Linked DNA regions of Caenorhabditis elegans. The protein of the gene in region 2 purifies or fractionates together with the protein of the main gene of each other region. This does not show direct contact. Each region holds a gene or a part of one and is shown on either strand. Other genes may lie near its edges.

What was found. Proteins that work in one complex are often made in the same cells at the same time.
Region 1: the proteins of smf-2 (region 2) and srx-4 fractionate together in Caenorhabditis elegans (co-fractionation; one large-scale study listed by BioGRID). This does not show direct contact.

Annotation. Positions count from the first base shown.
Region 1 is NC_003283.11:688,641-695,919, reverse strand, and holds srx-4 (G-protein coupled receptors family 1 profile domain-containing protein), read left to right. Parts: upstream 1-3,149; coding exon 3,150-3,365; intron 3,366-3,478; coding exon 3,479-3,591; intron 3,592-3,849; coding exon 3,850-3,978; intron 3,979-4,027; coding exon 4,028-4,157; intron 4,158-4,223; coding exon 4,224-4,303; intron 4,304-4,614; coding exon 4,615-4,789; intron 4,790-4,838; coding exon 4,839-5,045; downstream 5,046-7,279. Other genes in the region: srj-52 (Serpentine Receptor, class J), read left to right, coding at 1-19, 67-168, 222-391, 438-594; srj-53 (Serpentine Receptor, class J), read left to right, coding at 1,195-1,383, 1,444-1,812, 1,860-1,961, 2,007-2,176, 2,223-2,379; H25P19.1 (CUE domain-containing protein), read right to left, coding at 6,038-6,455, 6,504-6,667.
Region 2 is NC_003284.9:6,715,007-6,722,285, reverse strand, and holds smf-2 (NRAMP-like transporter smf-2), read left to right. Parts: upstream 1-3,590; 5' UTR 3,591-3,615; coding exon 3,616-3,717; intron 3,718-3,767; coding exon 3,768-3,989; intron 3,990-4,032; coding exon 4,033-4,163; intron 4,164-4,222; coding exon 4,223-4,361; intron 4,362-4,405; coding exon 4,406-4,561; intron 4,562-4,605; coding exon 4,606-4,764; intron 4,765-4,812; coding exon 4,813-4,899; intron 4,900-4,941; coding exon 4,942-5,179; intron 5,180-5,380; coding exon 5,381-5,492; intron 5,493-5,536; coding exon 5,537-5,696; intron 5,697-5,742; coding exon 5,743-5,787; intron 5,788-5,838; coding exon 5,839-5,928; 3' UTR 5,929-5,965; downstream 5,966-7,279. Other genes in the region: NRAMP-like transporter smf-1, read left to right, coding at 1-34, 82-212, 258-396, 445-600, 1,155-1,313, 1,358-1,444, 1,492-1,729, 1,798-1,909 and 2 more; Zinc metalloproteinase nas-11, read right to left, coding at 5,966-6,093, 6,138-6,322, 6,366-6,523, 6,570-6,639, 6,730-6,862, 6,909-6,991. UniProt on the Caenorhabditis elegans protein: Probable divalent metal ion transporter which regulates Mn(2+) uptake.

The DNA of each region.
Region 1 (7,279 bases), on a different chromosome or scaffold from region 2:
GATTGGGACCTTGTTTCGTGTGAGATAAAATTACTGGTCAATAGCTTTAGAATTTTCAAGTTTCAGGGAGGATCTGGGGAAACAACGTTTCGATCATGGGCAGCTTTAATTATGGTGACCTCAGTATCAGTGGCGTCAATCTTCTCATTTTTAATCATGGCTAAGAAAGTTATTTTCCCAACTCATATCGAGCATGAAATTTTAAATTATTAACATTTCAGATAATGTACAAACTGAAGAAAATGACAGTGAATGCTAGCAAAAAAACAGTGAAGATTCAATTTGAACTACTACGAGCATTGATTGTCCAAACCGCCATTCCGATTTTTATCAGCTTTTCCCCATGTCTGATTGGCTGGTATAGTCCAGTTTTTGACATCCAATTGCCCAGGTATTTCTCGTTACAACGATCGCATGAGCGAGAAAAATTATTCCAGAGGATTCAACTACTTGGAACTTAGTGCTCTTGGAGTTTTTGCGTTTGTTGACCCGGTGGCAATAATTCTCTGTCTTCCGATTCTCCGGAAAAGAATTTTTTGTTTTAACCGTCACAATTCATCAATCGCGGTTAACGTGGAAGGAATTAAAGATTGAGGAATAACCTGAAAATTCTTGTTCTCTGGGGATCTACACGACAATTTATGCAAAATGCTACAGGACAAAATTATGTATATCAGAATAATGATTTAAATTTGATTTGATTTTACCTGTATATAATACAACGTTATTTTGTAAAATTTGCACAACTGCACCATTCATTCACCAATTTTTACAATACACAGATGCTATTTGGTTTGAAAATTTCAAAATAAAATTTGAAAAATTTTTTCAAACGAAGCGACAGACCAGAAGATGGAATTTCTGAAAAGGCCGACGAGAGTTCTAGAAAGTTACTGAAAGTCGCAGCAACATTTGAAAGTTTTGAGATTTAAATTTGAGTGCGCGGAGGTTATTGATTGCAAACTCTAACTGACCATTTTCTTTCAATCGGCCTTTTGAAACGCTGTTTTGGATTTGTCTATTTTTACAGTAACCTTTTTGTTATGGAAACATACAATACACATAGAGACAGACACCGGAACTATTAGATGAACAAAAAGGAAATTTGGCAACATCCTTAGCGACAACTAATTCCGAGATAGGTGTCTGTCTCAATTTGGCTTGGACTGTTTTCGTCAAAATATAGCACGAGTGATGCTCGACGAATGGTTTTTTCTTTACATTCCGCGACTTTTTTGCGCGCTCTCATTTCTGGTAAATCCTATATTTGTCTATCTTATCTTCTCTGAAAAATCTGCTAATTTTGGCAACTATCGATTTCTTCTCTTATCTTTCGCAGTATTCAACTTGATCTATTCAGTTGTGAATGTACTTGTTCCACTGGTAAGTAACAGAAAATCGTGAAGCAATTTTTTTAAAATTTGAATGATAAAATTTATTCAGGACATCCACAGCTATGGTTATTGTTGTTTCCTCACCGTCAGACATGGGCCGTTTTCTGAAGTTTCCGAGTTCAACTTTCACATGTTGGTCGGTCGCTGCTCTTTGGTGTCAGCTAGCTACGCAATTATCCTACTCCATTTTGTCTATCGGTACCTTGTGGTTCAAAAGTCAAGCCTTACTGACCGGAACTTCCACTGGTATATGACTATATCGGCGTTTGTTTTAGTATTGTATTTTGTAACATGGCACGCAATTTGTTACTTCCCAGGCCGTGCAAATGTGGAAACCAGAGAGTATATTCGCAAAGATTTCCTTGAGATTTATGGCACTGACTCAATGAATTGTAATATGATTGGGACCTTGTTTCGTGTGAGATAAAATTACTGGCCGATAGCTTTAGAATTTTCGAGTTTCAGGGAGGATCTGGGGAAACAACGTTTCGATCATGGGCAGCCACAATTATGGTAACCCTATTATCAGTGGCGTCTATATTCTCATTTTTAATCATGGCTAAGAAAGTTATCTTCCAAACTCAAATCAAGCAAAAATTATTAACATTTCAGATAATGTACAAACTGAAGAAAATGACAGTGAACGCTAGCAAAAAAACAGTGAAGCTTCAATTTGAACTACTACGAGCATTGATTGTCCAAACCGTCATTCCTATTTTCATCAGCTTTTCCCCATGTCTACTTTGCTGGTATAGTCCAGTTTTTGACATCCAATTGCCCAGGTATTCCTTATTAGAACAATCGCATCAGCGAGAGAAATTATTCCAGAGGATTCAACTACTTGGAACTTAGTGCTCTTGGACTTTTTGCGTTTGTTGACCCGGTGGCAATAATTCTCTGTCTTCCGATTCTCCGGAAAAGAATTTTTTGTTTTAACCGTCACAATTCATCAATCGCGGTTGGGGTGGAGGGAATTAAAGATTAAAGAATAACCTGAAAATTCTTGTTCTCTGGGGGTCTACGCGACAATTTATGGAGATTGCTACATGATACAGTTATATCAGAAACGCCGATTCGATAATTATTTGAAAAAAATTTGATCTCAAACATAATAAAGCGCTATTTTTTCATGTGTTCACTACAGCACTTTTCAACCACAAAATTTGACAATTGACAGATGCTATTTGCTTGGATCATATCAAAGTAAAAATGGAACAACTATTTCAAATAAAGCGATGTGTCAAATTGAACAGATCACAATTTCAGTTCATAGTCCATTTTTAATGAGTGCACAGACATCATAAGCAGTCAACCTGAACTGCCAGTTCACGTCTGACACAAATTTCTTGAACACTGTTATGAAGATTACTGAGAAGTTGACGAAACATTAAAAACTATTTCAGTCTTACTTTGTCATTATATTATTTAAACTTTTGTAGAAGCATTATTTTTAAAAATTGGTTTTTTGAATCCTTCCTTTATTTTCTTCGGAATTCTAAAAAATTCTTAGAAAACGGAACTATAAATGCTAGAAAAACAGTGACAAGATACAAGTCGCTTAGAAGTATTAAGAAAACTGCTCACAGACTTCTGACTGCCTTGTCCTTTTCTCATTTCCGTACCAGCGCTAGACACCTACCCACAAAAATTGTATTTTTCTACTTAACAATTCTTGTTATTATCACTTTTTTATTATTTTTGGTCGATAATTTTCTTCCCTCTTCAGTTCTCATTTGTTTTTCCCAGCAGAACATGATGGAATTCCCTCTGAAACCCTTCCTTGGCTTCTTATTCGGACTGCTATCAGGCATCAGTCTGATCTTAAACCTCATCACCATCATCGCGGTGTTTCGGCTGGCATTTTGTAAACGGAAGAATCCAGTTTACATTGTGTCGTTTTTCAACATTTTGTCAGATGTTTTTCAAGTGAGCGCGGCTACTTTCTACTCGGCACCGTCTATTATTACCAGTGTAAGTTTTAAAGATTCCAAATGGGTCTCGCCTCGATCTGTTTGCCGCAGGTCCAAAATTTTGGTCGCTGCACTATGATTAACTTTATTACTTGTAAACGCACATTTTTGCAGTCTTTCTTGACAAGCTTTTCCAAAACCAACACATTAAACACAACATTAAGCTCTATTTTTCTCTTCCTTTGGTACTTCGAGACAATTCTCCAGGTGGTCATGGGGCTCAACAGGTAAGTATTACGGGAACACAAAATTCTGAGAATGCGTATTGCGCAACATATTTGACGCGCAGAATTTCTCGTAGCGAAAACTACAGTAACTCTTTCAATGACTACTGTAGCGACAAAATGAATGAATCTTTTGAAAATAAATACAAAAATCGAGCCCGTAAATTGACGCAAGCGCTACAGTAGTCATTTAAAAAGTTACTGTAGTTTTCGCTACGAGATATTTTGACGTGAAATATGTTGCACAATACTCATTTTCAGATACGTGATAATTTGCCTGCAAAAGCATAAAATATTCACATTCCGTACTACAATTTTGCTCATTGTGCTTTCGATCCCAGTTTCTCTGGGTTTCATGTTCAAATCACAGTATTGGAATCTGTGCTGCACGTGAGTCAAATTGGTTTTTCGTTGAAAAAATGTCTCAAACAACTTTAAGATTTGTTTATGATCATAATTACCTCTCCTACTCGTACAATGTGATAGAAGGAGTTGCAAACTCGTCGAACAACTTTGATGTTCCTTTAAACGCTCTCAGCTCTGTGGTTTCGGCGTTTTTCTACGTTATGGTGAGTTTTTTGAGTTATTTTTGTCTACTTTCACAAAAAGAATGTTTCGAAACAAATAGTTTTTAGATATTCTGGACAGTTCACAAATCGACGCCCAACTCATCAACTGGTGAAGAGCAAAAATTACGGAGGGAGCGAGATGTCAAGTAAGCCTTCCGCTTAAAAGCGCGCTTTTTGAAATCGAGGTGCAAACGCGCTCCGTCGACAAAAGTTGAGTCTCATTAGGAAAGTTGTTATATATTTTCAGTCGATTTTTGATGAGTTTTAAGATGAAAATATCGTGTTTTTTAAACTTTGGCATAAGATTGTTAAATAGACGGCTTTGACGCGACTACCTAACGAGACCCAACCTTTTAAGGCGGAGCGTATGTATTTATCGGTGGGACACACTTGTATAGGGTATTTCAGTGGGGTGCGCTCCACGGGCCGAGCCTTTCGTAAAAGCTTATTCTCTCAGATACGCCTTCCAATTCTGCCTTCTTCTGATATTTTACATCTGCGCATGGTCCCTGTTCCGAATTCTGCCCCTAATCATCGCAAATCATGGAATCGAGTGGTTTGTGTTGATTCCAATGTTTTACACATTGAATTGCACTTCCAATGCAATAATTTATTTGGGATTCAATAGCGAGGTGAGATAATTGATTTAATTTAAAATGCAATTTAAAAATAATTTTGTAGGTCCAGGAAAACTTAAAGCCTCAAAAACTGCAATCCATTCTTCGCATTCTAAAATTTATGAAGCCTGAACCATCCTTTCAAGACGTCAGTTTGGCAAACGCGACGAATGCATCAAGTGTCGCTCCGATCCGCCACGTTGCACTACGATTTGTTCCAAAAAAAATTCACCAGCCATTTCGATCGATTGGAGTTCGAGAGGGACCATAATAATTTTTTAAGATTTTGCGTTTAAAAAAATTTCAAGCAGTCTCAAATTCAGAAATACCACAAAAAACAAACGCGCGAATTATATTTTGCGAATTTTCAACTTTTGAAGTATCGTCTTTTTGTCTCGAAACTCCGCCTATTTTTCCAGTGATTTTCTCCAAAATTTGAACTGCGACCAATCAGCGACTTGCTCCACCAACTTTTCAACCAATCAGAAGAAGTGGGCGGAGTGAGACGACACTGATTGGTTATAAAGTAGGTTTTCATTTTGGAATGAATTTAACGAAAATTGAAATATCACGTTTTACTACGGTAACACACAATTTTGAGAATGAAACAATATATTACCGATACAGAGCGTGTAGATAGTGAGAGAGTGGCAGACATCCGGGTCCCAAAGGGGCGGGGCGCGCGGAAGAGACGATTTGTGTCGATTTACGAAATTTTTCCCGTTGACAACATTCCGTAAATCGACACAAATCGTCTCTTCCGCGCGCCCCGCCCCTTTGGGACCCGGATGTCTGCCACTCTCTCACTATCTACACGCTCTGTATCGGTAATAATGGACACCAAAATATATCTCATAGCGAAAACTACAGTAGTTCTTTAAATGACTACTGTAGGGCTACTTGTGTCGATTTACGGATTTATCAATAGAATATTAAAATTAATCAGAAAATTGGAAAATAATACGGAGGAATGCAGGAAAAAATTCAAAAAGAAATTCATTTTGAAAACCGAGCCCGTAAATCGACACTACAGTAGTCATTTAAAGAATTACTGTAGTTTCCGCTACGAGATATTTTGCGCGTGAAATATGTTGCACAATGCGTATTTTTAGATTTTTTTTTTTCAAATTTTTTGTCTCAAAATAAATAATATTTATTATACTATTAAAAAAACAACACAAAATATGAGAAAGTGACACAACAAAAATCACGTTAGAATAAATATTACACAACCGGCAAAAAAGTGAGAGTTGAGATGGGGAATTATTCAAAGATGTTCGTCGAGCGTCGCGTTCGGGCCGGATAGGACTTCTGGGCTCCGCCGCGGGCCTGCTCGAGAGATCGCTTTAGGTATGGGCGCTTCGGTGGCGTCGATTTTGAAGTTCGCGGGGTGGATTTCGGCGGAGATTTCGGTGGAGTCGGCGAGGAAATGATCGAAATGCCCGGCGTCGCTGTTCCGAGTTTTGACGGAGTGAATCGGAATTTCAAGTTGATGCGTGGTGGTCGTGATGGCTCCGGCTCCGGCATCGGAGTTCCATTCGTGGATTCTTGAGCGCTGTTCACCGAGGTGGTGTCCGAATCGTTGTTCAGATCCGTTTCCTGTCCTCCTCTACTACCACGTAGATTCGCTAGGCGAGTTGACATGGCCTTCTGAGCACGCGTCTGCTTTTTTGGGTCTTGCCTGGAATTCAATATTTCTTTTTAAATTTAATTTTTTTCAAAAACTCACTGATAAATTGTGATATTACTGGCCTTCATTTTCTCTTCCAGCCTCTGCTTATCTTCAGGAGTAACCAGGCGATCTGGGGTCTCGAGGCGCCAATTTCCGCACAATTTGTTTTTTTCTTTATAGTAGAAATTGACCAGCGTTTTTGTGTCCACTCCTTTTCGGAACTGAATAAGAAATAATTTTTCTTAATTTTTTGATTGAAAAAAAAAATTTTAAAACACTAGTGTAGACTCAAAATGTGCAAAAGTCGACGAGTTTTGTTAAAAATCTCAAATTTTTCCATTGGAAATCAATTTTAAATTTATTATCGAAATTTCGCAGGATTTTGGCATGCGTTCTTAAAGACGCATGGATTTATTTAGTTGGGTCTCGGCGCGCAAAAAAATTATGGTAGTTTTTCTGATTTTTCTTTTTAATTTTTAAAAAAACATGTTTTTTTTTTTAAATATTTTTTCTCATTTTTTCTTTTCATATTTCTTTTTAATTTTTTTTGTTCAAAATTGTTTTTTTTTAATTTTCGGTTCAAAATCCATCTTTTTTACATTTTTTGCAATTTTTTTTTCAATTTTTTTTCCAGTACAAAACTGTTTTTTTCTGTTCAAGATCTTTTCTGTTTAAAATTGTTTTTTTTTCTAAAAATTGTTTTTTTTTTCATTTTTCTGTTCAAAATCGTTTTTTTTTTAATTTTTTTTGTTCAAGGTCAATCTTTTTATACAATTTTGCTAATTTTTTTTCCTTATTTTGTTAAAAATGTTTTTTTTGTTCAAAAGTGTTTT
Region 2 (7,279 bases):
ACTTGGAGTTGTCAGTGGAAAACATATGGCAGAGGTAATATCTAAGTTACATTGAGTAAATTTAAATATTATGTGCTTAAGGTTGCCTACCAATTTTACCCAAGACTTCCTCGCATCATTCTCTGGCTTATGATCGAGATTGCAATTGTGTGTAGTGATATGCAAGAAGTTATTGGAACAGCAATTGCCATTTTCTTGCTCTCTAAAGGATTGTAGGTTGAATTTTGCTTTGGCGTGTTTTAACATGTTTTTAACAGCGTTCCACTCTACGTTGGAGTTTTCATCACAATTCTTGACACCTTCACATTTTTGCTGATCGACCGGTACGGAATCCGAAAACTGGAATTAATCTTTGGATTTCTTATTTTAACAATGACAGTGTCATTTGGCTATGAGGTGAAATTGACAAAGCCTGAAAAATGTTAAATGCAAGTTTTTTTTCAGTTTGTCGTTGTGAAACCTCCAATTGGTGAAGTTATATCTGGAATGGTGGTACCTTGGTGCGCTGGATGTGGAAAAGGAGAGTTTATGCAAGCGATATCAGTTGTCGGAGCTGTCATCATGCCGCACAATTTGTACCTTCATTCGGCTCTAGTGAAGGTTTGACTTTATTATTCAAATTTTCGGTTGACTGTGTTGATCTGACCATCTGATAACATGTGACAGACCTAAAGAAAAACAACAATAATTTTGTGAAAAACAAAATGCGGAGTTATGATCTTTAAAAAAATCTATCATGATCGAATTTTGATAAACCGCGGAAAACGCGAATACGTATCAGCTGTTTGAATTTTTTTGCAAGTTTATTTTTTACACGCATGCAATACTATGCACTTTAGAAATAGAAAAATAGTAAATTCATACTTTGTGAACCGTATGCCTAAATTTCTGAAACAAATAGACCACGTATTAAACAATTGTATGCAACAATTGTATTTTTGTTTTTACCACCAAATGTTTCGAAGAGTTCTATTCAAAAAATTATTTCTTCAATGAGAATGTTTTTTTTATGAAACTGTGGTCTGTGGTGAAATTATTAATGATTACAAATTTCAAGCTGATTTTTTTCTTATTTTCTTTAAAACGTCAACGTCGACTTGTTGCTAGTATTGATTGAAACGTGGTCCATTACACTCTTTCAAATGAAATTTCAGTCTCGCCGTGTAGATCGTAAAGACCGTCGTCGTGTGGCTGAGGCCAACAAATATTTCACACTTGAGTCGGCAATTGCTCTTTTCCTCAGCTTCTTCATCAACCTTTTTGTGGTCGCCGTTTTCGCACATGGACTTTACCAGAAAACAAATGCGGATGTTGTTAGTGTCTTTTTCAAAAATTATTTTTGATTGCTCGTTTTCAGAGAGAAATGTGCATAGCCAGACACGACATCCCGGATGCAGATATATTCCCAAATAACACTGAACCAGTTGAGGTGGATATCTATAAGGTTACACATTTTCTTTTTTCCGCAAAACAAAACAATGTTATTTTCAGGGTGGAATTTATCTCGGATGCCAGTTTGGAGCTATTGCAATGTTTATCTGGGGAATTGGAATATTCGCAGCTGGACAGTCATCAACAATGACAGGAACATATACAGGACAGTTTGTGATGGAAGGATTTGTGAAAATTGAGTGGCCCAAATGGAAGAGAGTTCTAATTACAAGAGCGATTGCAATCACTCCAACCCTCGTGCTCACGTTTTATTCGCAAGGAGTTCAAAACTTAACAGGTAGAACTATCAGGGATAGTACAGCTACAAAAATATATAAAATCAGACTTATAAATATTGTTTTCCAGGAATGAATGATTTCTTAAATTGTGTTCAAATGATTCAACTTCCGTTTGCACTAATTCCAATCATCACATTTACCTCGAGCCGAAAAATAATGCACGACTTCAGAAGCTCTAAGTGAGTAAAAAATTACTGATACTTTTCAGATTTATCTTTTTTTTCAGAGTTTTTCAAATTTTTGCTCTGATCACTTCTGCGTTAATTTTATCGATTAACGTTTATTTTATTTCTGACTACGTGTTTTCTCGACTTGGTAGTGAGTGGTATATCATAATGGTTCTTGCTCCGATCACCTTTGCATACGTGCTCTTTGTGTTATATCTAGTAAGTCTATGTGTTAGTTTTTTGTGGCTTTATTATTGGAACTTCAACAATTTACAAGTTTCATTGACAATGATATCCGCCTACAATCTGAAAATTTTAGTAGTGATTGTATTTCGCCCGGCACTTCTTGAAAACCATATTATTAAAAAAACTAAATTAAATTTGATAGTGTCATATTTAACTACTGATAAACTTTAACTTTTGTTCATTACCGTTAATTTTTCAGGCACTATACTGTTTGGTCTCTTGTGAAATTATCCCAGACACCGTTTCCATCCGAGGATTCAGCTTTAACAAGTCATACGAAAACGATGCTCCGTGGTTGGCGGTTGATTCATCAGCAGTCCATGACAATGCAGGATATCAATAATTTATATTAAATGAGCATAATTCTCATTTTGGGTTTTTCATCGTGTTTTTTTCTTCACTTGTGTGTATGTTTATATGTTTCCACGACTCTACTTTTCTATTAAATTGAATAGATATAAAGTATGTTTGAGACTCTTTTGATGTGCCTCGCAGAAAATGTGAAATTGTGATACAACATCAGGAACATCAGAAGACAAGAAAAGAAACATCATTATTTGTTTTATCGTGCAAAAAATGAGCTATTTATTGGAAAAACTGTTGAAAATCACTAACGTGGTGCCAAACTGATCTAATATCACAAAAATAATTTCAAAATTTGTTTGAAAAACTTTTATTGACAGTATTCGAATACCTGCAATGTTTGATTACTAATATTTGAAACTCTATAAAATTAGAACGAAAGTTTTTTTTTTGATCTACGACTTCCAAAAATGTGGTAGAAACTTGATAATTATCAATTTTTGAAAGAATTTTTCTTTGAAAAGTTTGATTGCGATATTTGGCTATTTTGACACCACGAAAGCCGGGTTTAAGCTATTTCTCACTACTTCTCCTTCAATACAAGCAAAAAAAAACTAAGCATGTTTCTGCACATGAATAGTAAGCTGAATACAAAAAAACATGACTATAATAACTTGGGAAATCAGGTAAAAATGTGCAATTTTAATTGTTATTGTGTGTTAATTGTTAATCTGTATGTGAAATTTATATCAAAATTGCAAAAATACTCAAAATTTCTTTAAAAAAGTAAAAAAAAAAAATCTAATTTTATAGTTCACCAAAATTTGACTGAAATGTTTGGATTCCAAATATTCCAAACTTTGGAATATCTAAAACATGTAAGAGATTTAATGTCGAAACTCAATTCTCAAACATTTTTAGTTTATATTTCACAATAAACAAGTTACAAACTCTCACCTGTCTATTTTTTTCATGCTTGCCACATGAAGCAGAGGATTTAATTGTTGGGAGTAGTCTTATTTGTTTTTAGATAACAGAGGAACTGCGGAAGAAATTTTTTGTTATGATTACTTATTATCAGAGGAGAAAAAATAACAACATAAAAAGTATAAAACACATGAGTCCGACAGTAACCTGTATTTGCTGTTGCTAACCCTTGAGCTCTGAAAATGCCTGGTTTTCAAAACGCTAACATATCTGATCTAGCTCCCCCGGCTCGAGAAAAAACGTTTGATGACACGATTGCAGTAAAAATTCCCGAAGATGAAAAGGTATTATTTTAAATCAAGCAAAACAAATTTCAGTTTGCATAAATGCTCAGAATACATGGTTCTCCTGGCGTAAGCTTTGGGCATTTACTGGCCCTGGATTTCTAATGAGCATTGCGTATTTGGATCCAGGAAACATTGAAAGTGATCTCCAGGCTGGAGCTCAAGCTGAATACAAACTTCTCTGGGTTTTATTGGTGTCTCATATTGTTGGAATGCTTCTTCAACGAATGTCCGCAAGACTAGGCGTTGTCAGTGGGAAACACATGGCTGAAGTAGATAATTCAACTTTTAAAATAATTTTGTAAATTCATTAAGATTGCTTATGATTACTATCCGTTGGTTCCCCGAATCATTCTTTGGCTCATGATTGAGATTGCGATTGTATGCAGTGATATGCAAGAGGTTATCGGAACGGCAATAGCCATTTATTTATTGTCCAGTGGCAAGTAAGATCAATTTTAACTAGAAAATAATTTAGGAAAACTTCACAAAATTCCATTTTCAGAATTCCTTTATTAGTCGGCGTTCTAATTACTATCTTGGATACTTTCACTTTTCTGTTCATTGATAGATATGGCATCCGAAAACTGGAGTTTATATTTGTTGCTCTAATTTCTACAATGGCAATTTCTTTTGGTTACGAAGTAAGCATTTATCATTTTCTATCCAGTTAAATTCAGCTTTTCAGTTTGTTGTGATGAAGCCAGTGTTGACTAAAGTTCTTACTGGTACTGTTGTCCCCTGGTGTAGTGGATGTGGAAAGGAAGAAATTATAACGGCTATTTCCATTTTTGGAGCCGTGATAATGCCACATAATTTTTATTTGCATTCAGCTTTGGTTAAGGTTAGTTCTATCGAAATAACGTTATGTGATTCTAAGATTTTGAGTCACGAAAAGTCGACCGCTCAAGCAAAACTCGCATTGCCGAAGCGAACAAATATTTTTCCATTGAATCGGCGTTTGCATTGTCCGTCAGTTTTTTTATAAATCTGTTTGTTCTCTCCGTATTTGCACGTGGACTTTATCAAAAGACCAATGGTGACGTTGTAAGAAAAATAAACTGATAACAAATGATAAATTTAAAATTAATTGAGAATTCAATGTGTCTGTCTCACAATGATATTCCCGATTCGAACGTCTTTCCAAACAATACATCATCTGTAACAGTGGATTTGTTTCAAGTATGATTGGAAATTAATCCAAATGTCACGTTTTTATTCAAGGGTGGGATATACCTGGGATGTCAGTTTGGACTATTTGCAATGATAATTTGGGCGATTGGCATATTCGCAGCAGGACAATCATCAACAATGACAGGAACATATACAGGACAGTTTGTGATGGAAGGATTTGTGAGAATCTCGTGGCCGAAATGGAAACGTGTACTGATAACCAGAGCGGTTGCAATCACTCCAACGTTGATCCTCTGCATAAAAGCCCACGGCATCAAAAATTTGACAGGTAGATTTTCAGTCAAGAATTGGTAAATGTCAGGGAATCAAGTTTCCGGTTGCTGAAAAAAATTTTTAGGCAACTTTGGAAATTGCCTGGTGGCAAAAAGTGATGTTACAACACAGTCGCTATAGTATATTTTTGGTATATTCTTGAGATTCATGCCGCTTTTGATCGAAAACAAGTTGTATACCATAATTTAATTTTCAGGTATGAATGACTTTCTAAACTGTGTTCAAATGGTACAGCTACCGTTTGCATTGATTCCGATGATTACATTTACTTCCAGTAAGCGGATTATGCACAATTTTCGAACTTCCAAGTACTCACAAAACCAAGCAAATTAGAACAATTTTTATTTTTCAGACCTCTACAATACTTTTCTATTATCTGTGGAATTATTACAATCGGGATCAACGTGTACTTCATTTTCCAGTATGTGACTGAAAATTTCGGCACTGGTTGGCTGATTTTTGTTATTATTGGGCCATTTACTTTGTTATACATTGCTTTTATCCTTTATCTGGTTTGTCTTTCAAAAATTCAAGTAACTTTTAGTTGTGTAATTTTAGGCTATCTACTGTTTGGTTGCTTGCGAACTTATGAACGACACTGTGGTATTTTTTTATTTTTTTCCCAGAAAACGTTGACTAAATCTCTTGGTTCAGAACCTTCCGGGATTTGATTTTCATAGAACACTGGAACTGGATGCTCCGTGGATCACAGAAACCTTTGTTGTGAACGATGTATACTTTTAATTATTAAATTTGCTTTATGATCACATTCAAAAATACATTATTTTCCAATAGCACACAATCCACAACTCTTCTTACAATTGGCAGCCATGTATTGATCATGTCCCGGATTTTTGCACAAGTCTTTGAGAGCCCATGCTCCGCAATAAACATTTTTGTCATCGCATCCTGAAATTTTGATTTTCAGTATTATTAACACACATTCCACTCACCAGGTTGACAATACATTTTTTTCAGAAGTTCAATATCGGTTGTCCCCATCTTTTGCCTTTGTCCAAGAACTTTAAGATTCACGGCAGAGTTTGTTTTTGGGTTCATAGTAGGAATCGCAATGTTTTGAGCAGCAGTGTAACCGTTGTAATGCATGATACTGTCGTATGCGTATTTCACTCCGTATCTAGAAGTTTTGTTTTGAACCATATGGATTACTAAACACTTACGAAGTGTACAGTTTTGAATCCACCACAACAAATGCATCGTATTGTTGTGGATCAATGTTACTCCAATTAATAGTAATAAATTGATCACGATCATTGCGAAGGTGCTGATGGGCAACTCCGAGCGCATGCATTGTTTCATGAATTGCAACTCCTTTGTTCTGAAATTTCCTCAATTGGGAAATAATGACATGAAAGATTTCTTACATTGTCACATCCAAAACTAAGATAAACTGGGTTGGCAGGGTCAGCTCGACCAACATACGAAAGACCACAGCTGAATCAGACGTTATAAGTTTTAAACAACCGTTCTACTTATTTTAGTTTGACCTCTCGATAAGAACACCTCTGTGTAATATGAACTCACAATGTCGGACTGTCAACTTTGTAGTAAACAATATGAGATCCAGTTGGTGGGGAACTGAGCTCTTTGAATCTTATGCAGGTGTTCTTTTCAATCTCGTAAATTGCTGCCCGAACGTCATTTTTGTCAAGATCCTCTGAATATTTTCAATATTTTCAACAAAAAAATGTTTGCAACCTCACCTAAAGAACTGTCAAGTACATATCTGATTGGGGAACTTGGATCCCATTTCTTGATCAGATTTCCTTCAAAATAGAGAGCGGATCTGAAAATAGTAGTGCATCACTAGGATGAGATGGGCAGCAAATCTACAATTCTGCCCGTTTTAGTTTTAGTTTTTTCTTAAAAATGTAGAAAATTATTTGATTGATTTGAAGGAATCATATTTTTTGGAAAATATTTGAAAAACCTAACTGTAACTTGTTTTTTTTGCAAACAACGTTAATACGTTAATACATTAGTTATACTCGGGACAATTTGAAATTTTCAGGTAGTATTTATGGTACTGATTAAGATTAAAACATAAGTAAACATTATTTTCAAGTTAATAAAA